Linked DNA regions of Saccharomyces cerevisiae S288C. The protein of the gene in region 2 interacts with the protein of the main gene of each other region in a pairwise test. Each region holds a gene or a part of one and is shown on either strand. Other genes may lie near its edges.

Evidence for each region. The genes of interacting proteins can lie anywhere in the genome.
Region 1: the proteins of HYM1 (region 2) and SOG2 interact in binary tests that used the Saccharomyces cerevisiae proteins (3 or more experiments, as listed by UniProt).
Region 3: the proteins of HYM1 (region 2) and KIC1 interact in binary tests that used the Saccharomyces cerevisiae proteins (3 or more experiments, as listed by UniProt).

The regions. Positions count from the first base shown.
Region 1 is NC_001147.6:997,926-1,002,631, reverse strand, and holds SOG2 (Sog2p), read left to right. Parts: upstream 1-1,803; coding exon 1,804-4,179; downstream 4,180-4,706. Other genes in the region: MSC6 (Msc6p), read left to right, coding at 1-1,485; TFIIH complex subunit TFB6, read right to left, coding at 4,388-4,706. UniProt on the Saccharomyces cerevisiae protein: Required for proper cell morphogenesis and cell separation after mitosis. Functions in the RAM (regulation of ACE2 activity and cellular morphogenesis) signaling network and is required for proper ACE2 localization and CBK1 kinase activity.
Region 2 is NC_001143.9:83,133-86,461, forward strand, and holds HYM1 (Hym1p), read left to right. Parts: upstream 1-1,571; coding exon 1,572-2,771; downstream 2,772-3,329. Other genes in the region: CNB1 (calcineurin regulatory subunit B), read left to right, coding at 1-418; ATP-binding cassette long-chain fatty acid transporter PXA2, read right to left, coding at 3,093-3,329.
Region 3 is NC_001140.6:314,868-320,341, forward strand, and holds KIC1 (putative serine/threonine protein kinase KIC1), read left to right. Parts: upstream 1-1,704; coding exon 1,705-4,947; downstream 4,948-5,474. Other genes in the region: BIG1 (Big1p), read right to left, coding at 7-904, 992-1,101. UniProt on the Saccharomyces cerevisiae protein: Protein kinase involved in morphogenesis and cell integrity.

The sequences.
Region 1 (4,706 bases), on a different chromosome or scaffold from region 2:
TACTTATCTTTACCAGAGAATACTGTGGATATCAATATTCTGTATAAGATTTTACAGATCGATCGTAAAATGGGCCAGGTTTTACCTTTTAACATGATTAGAAGAATGTTAAGTACAGAATTTAGCTCTCTTGAAAGAAGAGACGTGATTATCAAAAATCTAAACACTTTGTACTATCAATACACAGTACAGGATAGTGATCATTTCTTAAGTCAAATTGAAAATGCTCCTAGATGGATAGATTTAAGGGATCTTTATGGCCAATACAATAAACTTGAAGGTGAGAAAAATGTAGAGATCATAAGCAAGTTCATGGACAAGTTTATTGATTTGGATAAACCCGACCAAGTTGTTACTATTTATAACCAGTATAGCAAGGTTTTCCCAAATAGTACGTCGCTGAAAGATTGTCTTTTAAGAGCTGTGTCGCACTTACGAGCTAAATCGAGTAAAGAGAAGTTGGACAGAATTCTAGCAGTCTGGAACAGTGTTATCAAACCAGGAGATAATATTAAAAACACATCTTATGCGACGCTAGTTAACGCACTAACTGATTCTGGAAATTTCAACCATTTAAAGGAATTTTGGGAAGAAGAACTTCCTAAAAAGTTCAAGAAAGATCCCATCGTGAAGGAAGCATTTCTCCTGGCCTTATGTCAAACTTCGCCTCTAAAGTATGACCAAGTCAAAGGGGAGTTAGCAGAGACTGTTAAAACCAAGAAGTTGTTCAATAAAGTTTTATTGCTAATGTTAGATGATGAAAAAGTGAGCGAAGAACAATTCAACACATTTTACTATAACCATTATCCATCAGATGGTGTGTTACCCCCTACTTTGGATACTCTAAGCATTAAAATGTACGCTAATTATAAATTTCAGGCAGAAGATACACGCCCACAATTCGATCTATTGCAAAGTGTTTCCATTAATCCCACCGATTATGAAAAGGTTGAAAAGATTACGAAAGCCTTTATTTCAGTGTGCCCCACTGTCGAGCCGATTCGTCAACTTTACAAACAATTGGGAACTCACTTAAATGCTAGGAATTATGCAGACTTTATTTCCGCAGAGTTTAATAAGCCTGACGGCACAGTGGCCGAGGCAAAGAATTTGTTTTCTGATTTTCTCTCATATCAAAAGACTAGAAAGAGAAACGTGGATAATACGCCTCTAAATGCTTTATTATTGGGGTTCTGTGATAAACTTTACAAGAGTAAACATAGCGAGTACGTTCCCTACATCGAAAAGTACTACAATCTAGCTAAGGATTCAAGTATCAGGGTGTCGAACTTGGCCGTTTCGAAAATTCTATTCAACTTGGCCACATTTGCACGCAATACTCAGCAGTTATCTGACAAAGAGGTTGCTTTTATTAACCAGTTTATGCGAGATTTAGGCACTAATGAGGGTTTTCGTCCCAACCCTAAGGATATTCAAATTTTAAAAGAATGTGATGGAATTACTGTTCCAGAAAAGTTGACTTAATACACTTGTCATAAGAAGACAATAAGAAAAGCTCAGAACCAATTTTCTGCACATATGATGCTGTAACTATATAATGATTTCTTGTATATAACTTCCGTATAATAGTTATTGCTTCCATGCATGATTCTTTCAAAGAACAATACAAAATAAAAATAAAAAAAAAAAAAAAAAATGAAAAAATGAAGCTACAAGTCGGGTAACAAAAAGTATTTCAAGATCTCTAAATATAAGTGGGCAAATAAAGTTAATGCCAAAACTCCATGCTACTTTTCACCTGAACTTATTGGGGGGAGTTAAGTCTATAAGTATCCGTAACGTATGGTAGCGACATCTTCAAAGAGGACGTTGGATCCGAAGGAGGAACATTTGCCTGCTGACAAAACATCCACTAATTCAAGCAACACTATAATATCTGAGTTGGCAACACAAGAGAAATCCAGCTCTAGTGGTACTACACTAAAATTAATAGCTCTTAATATCAAGTCCATATCAGATGAAGATGTGGGATATATCCAAAATGTTGAAAGACTGTCTTTAAGGAAAAATCACTTAACATCCTTACCAGCGAGTTTCAAGAGGTTATCAAGGCTGCAATATCTGGATTTGCATAATAACAATTTTAAAGAAATCCCATATATTTTGACACAATGCCCTCAATTAGAGATCTTGGATCTGTCCTCCAATGAGATTGAAGCATTGCCAGATGAAATATCATCGTTTTGGCAAGATAATATTCGTGTATTATCATTGAAAGACAACAACGTTACTAGCATACGTAATTTGAAATCGATCACAAAATTAAACAAGCTGAGCATCTTGGATTTAGAGGATAATAAAATACCCAAAGAAGAGCTTGACCAAGTACAGAGTTATACTCCATTTCATACGGGCATCCCCAAAGAAGAATATTGGGCAATTGCGATATCACGATATCTAAAAGATCATCCTAACCTACCTACTCCAGAACCTAAAATATCTAGAGCAGCGAAAAGAATGGGATTCATAAATACGAACTTGTCTAATGGAGCAATGAATGAAAACAATATAATTTCACTTGCCCCAAGTGCAAATACAACTATAAGTGCATCTACTGCAATGGTCTCATCTAATCAAACCTCTGCAACATCTTTCAGTGGTACAGTCAATGCAGAATCAGAACAAAGTGGGGCAGTGAATGGTACGGAACTATACAATCACACCAAATATAATGACTACTTCAAGAGGTTGTCGATTTTACCAGAAGAGTCAATGAGTAACGGGCATCAAAAAATATCGCATGCAGAGTTGGTTGTTTCCTGTCGGAAGCTCCTATTTAGTTTTACAGAATGCCAACAAGCTATCAGAAAAATCGCCTCTTTCTGTAAAGAGAAGGCCGTAGCGGTTAATGTAGTATCATTATTATACTCTGTCAGATCACATACTGATAATCTGGTGGAGGTCTTGCAGCAAACAGAGAACGAAGACGAATCGCATGATCAGGCGTTAATCAAGCTGTGCCTCACTATCATCACAAATTTTAAACAAATTATAACATTGTTGAGAAAAAATTTTGAGATTTTTTTCAAAGAAGACGATCTATGCTTCATAAGGATGTTTTATATGACATTAATGTGTGCTTATATGGAAATGTATAATGCATGGTCTTTTATCAAAGAAGATGATCAAGTGTCCGGTTCTGCAAGTAAGGCACCCAAGAAACATTCTTTTTCGAGGCACGAGACATCGTCCAGTAGTATCACAAGCGGTGGAGGACCCGCAGCAAGTACGACCAGTACACATTGTAGCGGAAACATAAAATTACTGCCGAAAACAAGGAGCACAAGAACACCATCTGCATCTGCATTGCTTTCAAATAGTAATATTCTGACGGGTGATACCACTGCTGTTCCTCTTTTATCACCAAATCTAAATGGTGCACACACCCATGGTCCAATTTTGGGACACCAAAATGCAATAAGCAATGGAAGTTCTCAAACGAACATGAATGAAGTAAAAACTACTAGCGATACTATTCCAAGGCAACAGCTGCTTCAGCACAATAAATCCATCAGCGATTCGAAAAAAGAGTCACAGGCGCATGAACCTAAACAGCATCCGGTTATGACTTCTTCAATAATTAACGCATCAAATAGTAATAACGTCTCGAATGTTAATATAACCCCACCACCGATGAATGGTGGTGGTGCCGCGAACAGTAGTGCTAATGTAGTGGAGACAAATATTGACATTCAACTGTATCAAACGTTGTCCACAGTAGTTAAAATGGTGAGCGTTGTATATAACCAGTTAACTTCAGAGATATCCAAGATAGCCATTGCTAGCACCATGGGAAAGCAAATTTTGACGGACTCGCTAGCACCTAAAATTCGTGATTTGACGGAAACATGTCGTCAAGCGATGGATTTATCCAAACAATTGAATGAAAGGTTAAATGTATTAATACCGAACGATTCAAATTCAGAGAAGTATCTGACATCTTTGGAGAAGCTGAAAACGTGGGAGATAATGAATTCGTTCTTAAAAGTAATAATATCAATTCTGGCTAATACTAAAATCGTAATGAGCGACGTGCCTAATTTGAATGAGCTGAGACCTAACCTAGCCAACTTGGCGAAGATTACCAAGGATGTCACTGTGATATTGGACTTGAGTTCATACAAGGCTGTATCAGTAAGCGCCAACTCTCCGGAGTAATATAAAAACTTGCATTGTGAGAAAACGCGAACTTTAGAATACGTAATGGGAGGATCATATACCCCATGGTACTGAAATGTATGCTTTATATATATATATATATATATTTATATATTTATGCATGAAAAATGAGGAGTTCGGAAACAGAAGTTTTAAAAGTTACAGATTTATTGTATAAAAGATACACGCCACTGGTTGAATGTAAATGTTAAAATGAATTGGCATGGTCTAAAAATCCCTCGTAAATCTTGCTTAATTCATAATGGTAACCATGGATACCCTGGGATTCCAAAAATATGGGTAGGCGAACTCTTGTTCGTTCCGCGATACCTTTTAACCTCACAATATCAGTCCCATTCAATCCTGCTATGTTCTTGCTGGCTGAAGACGTTTTAGGGACTTCTTTGCAATTATCATTATCATCAGTTAGAATTACAAATATCCTGTCAAGGATGAAGAAGAGTTTGAATAATTTGGATAAAGTGTCATTAATCTCTGAGTCTTCCATATTTTTGAATGTAAATTTT
Region 2 (3,329 bases):
CTCAGGGTCTATTGATAAAAATGAATTTATGAGCATTCCTGGCGTTTCGTCAAACCCTCTTGCTGGACGTATAATGGAGGTTTTCGATGCTGATAATAGTGGGGACGTGGATTTTCAAGAGTTCATCACAGGATTATCCATTTTCAGTGGGCGTGGGTCCAAGGACGAAAAGTTAAGATTCGCCTTCAAAATCTACGACATTGACAAGGACGGTTTCATATCCAATGGTGAGTTGTTCATCGTGTTGAAGATTATGGTAGGTTCTAATCTGGACGATGAACAGCTGCAACAGATAGTAGATAGGACGATAGTGGAAAACGATAGCGACGGCGACGGACGTTTAAGTTTCGAGGAGTTTAAGAATGCTATCGAAACCACAGAAGTGGCCAAGAGTCTGACATTGCAATACGATGTGTAAGACTAGGGGACACTTCATTCATTTATGGTATGCCAATATTTTTAAGAAAAGAAGAATAATACGCGATATTGTTTTTTAAGGAAGGAACGCACACTCGCCCAGTTAGAGTGCTGATGATATATACATATATATATGTATATGTAACAAACAATAAGAAAGCAATGATACAACATAGAGATGAGAGAGAGCATATATGTCAGCGACGAGATATACCAAGATGGAAGCTGATCTCATGTAATAACTGCGGGGTGTACTTTGATAATTTTTGGGATTCCATTGTTATTAATAGCTTTGATATCAGACATACAGAATACCAGAGATTTTCCTCAAAAATATGGCAATGCACAAAGGGGGATCAATAGTTATATAAATTAAGATTATTACTTCTTCTTTGTTTTATGTGTTGTTATTCACTATCCCACTGCATTATCAATCCTTACATATCAGCTTCCGTTAAACCCGATGACTATCTCTCAATCATCATACTATCTTCTTACACCGTATATGATAATTACCAGCAATACTAATGCTAGGAGACAGACCATCTTTGATTCCTATTCCAATAAAGTTAAACTGTGATATTGGTTTATTGGATAAGTTCATATCCTAAAACGTGTTGACAACACTTCGGGAGTTTCCAGTAAGTAAAATTTGTATGGAGGGTTGGCCGAGTGGTCTAAGGCGGCAGACTTAAGATCTGTTGGACGGTTGTCCGCGCGAGTTCGAACCTCGCATCCTTCAGTAATTTTTTTTTTTAATTTATTTTTGTGTTGCAAGCGTTGATCCTTTCCATTATGCAGCCATAAGAGGAGGCTGGATATGAATTATTTATTACCAATATAAGGAGCATGTACCGTTGATTTTGAAGAGCCAATTGCTCCAAATTTTGGATTTTGTGTTCGAAAAAGGGAAGATTGCTCCAAACGCAAATAAGGAGGAAACCCGCTGATTGCACTCTTGGAAAAATAAAAATAAAAAGTGGTCTCAGAATTGTTTCAAAAGTGGCACTGACACAATATTTACAGGCGTTGATAGCTTCTTGTTTTAACAATACGATTTAATCTCGGAGTAGTTAAGCCAAAGAATACGTGTTATCCGTAAGAGGCTTATTGCACGTAATCCCCAGTATAAATTATCCGCAAATCGAAGACAAATGTTTAAGAAATACAAAAATCAAGACTTGGACATGGCATTTTGGTGGAAGAAAAACCCCAAGACCCCTTCCGATTATGCCAGGTTGATCATCGAACAACTAAATAAATTCAGCTCACCCTCGCTGACTCAGGATAACAAACGAAAGGTACAAGAAGAGTGCACAAAATATCTAATTGGCACTAAACATTTTATTGTCGGTGATACGGATCCTCACCCAACTCCGGAAGCCATTGACGAGCTTTATACTGCCATGCATCGTGCCGACGTGTTCTATGAACTGCTACTTCATTTTGTGGATTTGGAATTCGAAGCAAGGAGAGAATGCATGCTTATATTCTCTATATGCCTTGGATACTCTAAGGATAATAAATTCGTCACAGTAGATTATTTAGTCTCGCAACCAAAGACCATATCTTTAATGTTGAGGACTGCGGAAGTTGCTCTACAACAAAAGGGTTGCCAAGATATCTTTTTAACGGTAGGGAATATGATTATTGAATGTATCAAATACGAACAACTTTGTAGGATTATATTAAAGGACCCTCAACTATGGAAATTCTTTGAGTTTGCGAAACTGGGTAATTTCGAAATCAGTACGGAATCTTTACAAATATTAAGTGCCGCATTTACTGCACATCCTAAATTAGTGTCTAAGGAATTCTTCAGTAATGAGATTAATATCATAAGATTCATTAAATGTATTAACAAGTTAATGGCTCATGGAAGCTACGTAACGAAAAGGCAGAGCACTAAACTGTTGGCCTCATTAATTGTGATAAGATCTAACAACGCGTTGATGAATATATATATCAACTCCCCAGAAAACTTAAAGCTCATAATGACTTTAATGACTGACAAATCTAAAAACTTACAACTTGAAGCTTTCAACGTATTCAAGGTGATGGTAGCAAACCCAAGGAAGTCAAAACCTGTTTTTGACATTCTTGTTAAAAACAGAGATAAACTATTGACGTATTTTAAAACTTTCGGTTTAGATTCTCAGGATTCTACTTTTCTTGATGAAAGAGAATTCATCGTTCAAGAAATTGATTCCTTGCCGCGTATAATTTCGTCCACAACAGAAGTTTCTAATAATAATGCATCCTCAAGTAACGTCGCCAGTATAACTTCTCCATCATCAGTAATGAACAATCAATCATCCATCTTAACACATTCAACTTCACCTGATTCAAGATAACTATAAAACTTGGTTCACTTTATAAAAAATGGAAAGTTCTCAGGCAGTGGGTCGTGACATGAATATTCAAAAGTAAAATTATATATAGGAAAGTGTTTATTTGCATAAAAAGGGAAAAATAGTTCAGACTTTTGTATTTTTACGTATTTATACAAAAAAAGGTTGGTACCGGAGGCTGAGGAAGCCAGTACAGTTGGATCCGGTACATGGAATTGAGCAATCAACCGTAAATATGAGCGCTTTCTCAAGATATTAAATTATTATAAAACAATTTATTTATCCAATTTATACATGATTTGGATCCTCCTTTGGCTATGTATGTTACCTCTCCTTTCCTTCTTCCTTTTTTGTTTTAACTTTTTTGTTCAAGCTTTTATTGTTTCTTAGTAAATTTGATGATGCTGAACTAGATGGTTGGGAAAATAGTGGTAATCTCTTACTAGTCTCCTGCCCTGTAGGTGATGTGATTCGCTGCCCTTTATTTGCATTAAACAATGCATTAGATTTGGACGTTTTTGGATCTTCGATCTTTTCAAAAAGATTCAGGTTAGTTTCTGA
Region 3 (5,474 bases), on a different chromosome or scaffold from region 2:
CCATAATCAAGATACTTGCTGGGATGGCTTTTTCTGGATCTCTTGCACTTTTTTGAGCAGTTGTGGTGACGTCTGTTTCACGTTGTCCTTTTTATTAGTAATCTTCTCATCTACAATAGTTTTTTTTGTGAAAAAAAACTGAATAAGAATATACCCAACCAAAATTGTGAAAATCAGCTGTAATAAACCTCTGTTATTCTCAATTAATTGTGAATCAAATATTGAGACATACTCCGAAGGTGGCTCTGAAAATCGTGGAGTATAGTCATTAAACGACAGACGAGGCACATCCAAAACTCTATTATTTTGTTCCACTTCACCCACTCTGGATTTTATGTCAAAGATATCTGGAAATATTTGGATAGGGATGATCGACTCGTGAGCCAGCGTAGTTCCTGGGTTTAACGAGGTGTAAATGACATTTTGTTCTGGCGACGGAATCTGCGCCAGTATAGTCCTCAAATACTTGTCATAATGGCGGAATGCTTCTTTACGTTCATTAGTGTCCTCTGGTAACTTAGGGTACTCTATTATAATCACTCTTTTTTCGCTATCAATAAAGGGCTGGAAATCTTCTGTATTATTACCTCGTAAGTTCAACACCTGGTCTACGTTACAATACTCCTTTACAAACTCTGCAAGATCATAGTATAAATCTTGAGGCAATAGGTCTACCTTTTCGAACTTAATCGCGGTTGAACTCCGTCTTATATATCTCTGTAACGAAACAAACTCTGTTTCAAATTCCAAGAAGTCCAATTTCCTCAGGCCTGGTTGATTAATAAACACATAAGTGTCAGCATTACATACACCTAAGAATTTCTCAGCCGCTTCAATAAAGGTGTCTCTTGGTAAAGTCACAGCCCTATCATAATCCTCTTGATACTTTAAAATACCGGGAGTTCTATCCAAAAGTACAAATATGTGTATAACATCTAGTTAGTAAGAAAAATGAAAGTTACTAAAGATTAATGTTTCTTGTTCTACATACAGTTTGTAAGAGAAGAATATTGCAGGAACATTGGTCTGGTTTTGCAATTCCTCCGAAGCACAAAAGCTTCCACACATAATAAGCAACAAATATTTCAACACAGTTTGCATCTTGCCTTGCTACTCCTAATTAGTATGCGCCTACGTTTCCTAACTACAAAACAGATAGGTATAACCTGCAACTTAACCTCCGCTGCTGATATTCTTGGCCGTAGTTAAGAGAGGTTTACATTACTACAGAGCTAACCCGTGTTGCATGATATCATCGATATAATTAAAGAATGCACATATGTCAGCGGTACTATCGCATACAATGCTCTATCAGAACTCTAGATAACGTTAGAACATATCCTCCCAGGTTTCGCCACATCTGTGGCCTCGTTACTCTATTCGTTTCACTCTTTCTTATCTATTTACAGCCCATCGAGCAACATTATCATGCCACACGTCGATCTCAGGCCGATCTGACAATCTTTAAAGGCATCAACAAGAGCAGCAGCTTGCCGACGTGGCAAAAGTCAAAGAAGAACAGAGGCAACTCGTCCTACGTGAAGCCACATACAACAAGTTAGGAACTATTAGGCGGAACCGCTTTCTAAGGAGCTTACTACTTTTAACAGTACTACTTTTAACAGTACACAGATAAAGAAACAAAAAGTATAAATTTGGGCGCCATCGACTGGCAAGCAAAACACGTATAGAGAACAGGCAGTAATGACGACGAAGCCACAAAATAGTAAGCAGGGTTTAGCCGAAGGAGAGATGGATGTGAGTTCACTTTTCAAGAGAACGGAAGTTATTGGGCGAGGGAAATTTGGTGTGGTTTATAAGGGCTATAACGTGAAGACTGGACGAGTGTATGCTATCAAAGTCTTAAATTTAGATTCTGATTCTGACGAGGTGGAGGATGTGCAGCGAGAAATTCAGTTTTTGGCCTCCTTGAAACAGATTTCCAATATCACGCGGTATTATGGGTCGTATTTGAAAGACACAAGCCTTTGGATCATAATGGAACACTGCGCTGGTGGTTCACTGCGTTCGTTGTTAAGGCCAGGCAAAATCGATGAAAAGTACATTGGGGTTATTATGAGAGAACTGCTTGTAGCATTAAAATGCATTCATAAAGATAACGTCATTCATCGAGATATCAAAGCAGCAAACGTTCTGATCACTAACGAAGGTAATGTTAAACTATGCGATTTTGGTGTCGCTGCACAAGTAAACCAAACTTCTTTACGACGTCAAACTATGGCTGGGACCCCCTACTGGATGGCTCCAGAAGTGATCATGGAAGGCGTTTATTACGACACTAAAGTAGATATATGGTCTTTAGGTATTACAACGTACGAGATTGCCACCGGAAATCCGCCATACTGCGATGTGGAGGCCCTAAGGGCAATGCAACTAATCATCAAATCGAAACCACCGAGGCTTGAGGACAGATCATACAGTACATCTTTGAAAGAATTTATTGCGCTTTGTCTTGATGAGGATCCAAAGGAGAGATTGTCAGCAGACGATCTTTTAAAATCAAAATTTATCAGGGCCCACAAGGCGACGCCAACGTCCATTTTGAAAGAACTAATATCACGATATCTACTATTTAGGGACAAGAATAAAAACAAATATAAAATAGAGGGCAGTATACCGGAAAATGAGCCATCAAAACCCAGTGAAGCTCCAAAACCATCACAAAATGGCGGGGGTGATGAAGCACAAAAGTCAATAGCATCAAATGATAATGAAATTAAGAGAGTGAACGAAGGCGATGTGGAAATGAAATGGGATTTTGATTCATTGAGTTCGTCGGATTATATTATTGAAAATAATATCAACCTCGATGCTTTGGCTGAGGACAACAACGAGTGGGCTACTGCCCAACATGACCTGTTCAACTATGCATACCCTGACGAAGATTCTTATTACTTTGACCCTACAAGTCATAATACTAGACCCTTTGTTTATCAAGGGACAACGATAGGAAAGGGCTATCCTGGTACAATAGCTCAAAATTCTACTTTGAATGCACCAGTAACAAATAACTATACGAACTCAAAATACCCTTCCAAAATGGTAGCTGGAACTACAAACACCTCTGGAACACATACGGCCGGTCCAATGACATCATCTAAGAGGCTGGAAAGTAAGGCTCCAAAACAATTACTTGAACTTTTTGAAGACAATGAAATTATTACTGCTGAAAATGATGTCAATACAGAAGCTCCTAAAATAAGCAAATCCATTTCATCTCTAAATGCTGGTAATAGTTCACGAGATGATTTCATTCCCTCAATATCCAACGAGGTCAACGGAAATATCAATAATAATAAAATGCGACCACACCTTCCACCTTTATCCAGTGGGAACAATTATTATAGCCAGAGTACACCTGCTTTGCCGCTACTCCAAACAAAATTTAACAAGACGTCAAAGGGCCCTCCAACAAGTGGATTAACTACTGCTCCAACGTCTATTGAAATAGAAATTCCTGAAGAACTACCGAATAGTGCTCTACCAACGCCTGCGAGCGCAGATCCGGTTTTAATACCAAGCACAAAGGCCAGGTCATCTACAGTGACGGCTGGCACTCCTTCGTCATCTAGCTCAATACAATATAAATCACCTTCAAACGTGCCCAGGCGGTTGACAGTCAGTAACAATAGGCCAGAACATTGCCCAAGCACCATAACAAATCAAAAATTGGGGTCCGCAGTTGCTTCTAATTCCGGAATCAGCTCCACTCCGAACAACAGTAATAACTATAACAACAACACTGATAGTGAGAACTCAAGAGGAAGCAGCGGTAGTAACACTGCAAATAGCACACAAATGGGCATAACCAATCCAGGTAATGTAACAAAGTTATCTACTCATAAGGCTTCTTCACCCTCAAGGCCACTATTTGGAGTTGGAACTTCTCCCAATAGAAAGCCTGCCGGTTCCCCAACCCAAAACATTGGTCATAATTCTACTCACACGAACCTCGCGCCTCCTCCTACGATGAAACCAATGGCCAATAGCAAAGATAACAAGGACATTCTCTTGCAACCTCTGAACAGCATACCTAGTTCTTCTACACTTAACACTATTAGTGGTAATAGCAGCAATAATTTAACCTCATCAAACTACTTTTCCAACGAAAAGGAAGGCTCAAGGGTCAATGGTGACTTTAAACGCAACAACCCAAACTTAAAACTACAAATGCCACTACCTACACCTGTTGTGAGAAATAAACTTCTTGATCCAAATACAGCAACCTCACAGAATAACAATGGCATGCCGGGGAGCGCTGGCATATCCACGAACGAAAATATTAATCAATTTGGATTTAACACAAGCAGTGCGTCCAACATCCCTGTCTCAATGACTCCAATTAGTGAGAAACACATTGATTTTGGGGGCAAGATCAAGAGAAGTCAAAGCATTTCTAACAGGAAGAACTCTTCTGCCTCGGAACACCCATTGAATATTCTTGGCTCATCTGTTTCCGGCAATGTTTCCGGTATCGGTAACAACAATGTTGGCTCTAACAACAACAGCGGCCCTAATAACAGTGTTCCTCTTTCTGCTAATACAGGAAACACTACTATCAAAGCCAATTCTACGACTATCGCAACTTCAAGTTCTGCCGCGGCATCAACGACTGCACCAATTTCACAACAGACTATTCCATCCGGAACACAATTCAATCATATTCTGAGTTCCGCCGCAACAGCTGCAAACTCGGTTAATTCTTTAGGCTTTGGCATGTGTCCTCCTCCACAGAGTTTACAAATGGAAATGTTCTTGGACTTAGAATCGTTTCTGCCAGGAAAACAGAGGCGGGTAGACAGGAAACCCCAGGTTCTGAAAGAACTGGAAAATCTTTTACAAATGTTCGAAGAAGGTTTGCCCTGCATTGAACACGCTTTAAAGGAACAACTTATTTCAACGCCTATCAAGGATAATGAGCATTAAAAGCATCGTCTAGTTTATTCTTTTGTTTATGTACATATTCAAGAAAAATAAGCAAGATGTAAGAAAAGTGAAAGTATATATTTTCTACAGAACTTAACAAGTCCCTTTAAGCACCACATGGAACTCGACTGCGCAAGGTTAGCGCTTTACGGACTTTATTGCTATTCTAGTTCAAAGAAAGCAAATGGCGCAGTTACCAAACCTCGCCATTTGTTTTTTCCGTTATTTTTTCTTCTTATAAACGCGCCTAGAAGAAAAAACCGTGCGAAGCGCAAATCCTGAGAAAGCGCTAAGGAGGTTTCAACCAATGTTTACCACTTGAAATTTTAGCATTCTCATCACTGTAAGAGAGATAATTATCCTGTAAACATTCCAAAATACCTTTTGTAACGCTGATTGTTGTATTTGTTACCCCAGAATTGCCATATATAGTGGAGAAGAAATCGAAAAGGTCATATACAGCAGAACCAAAAAAAATAATACATTCGTTGATCCTTTACCGTTTTCAAGAGTGAAACGTGATCGTG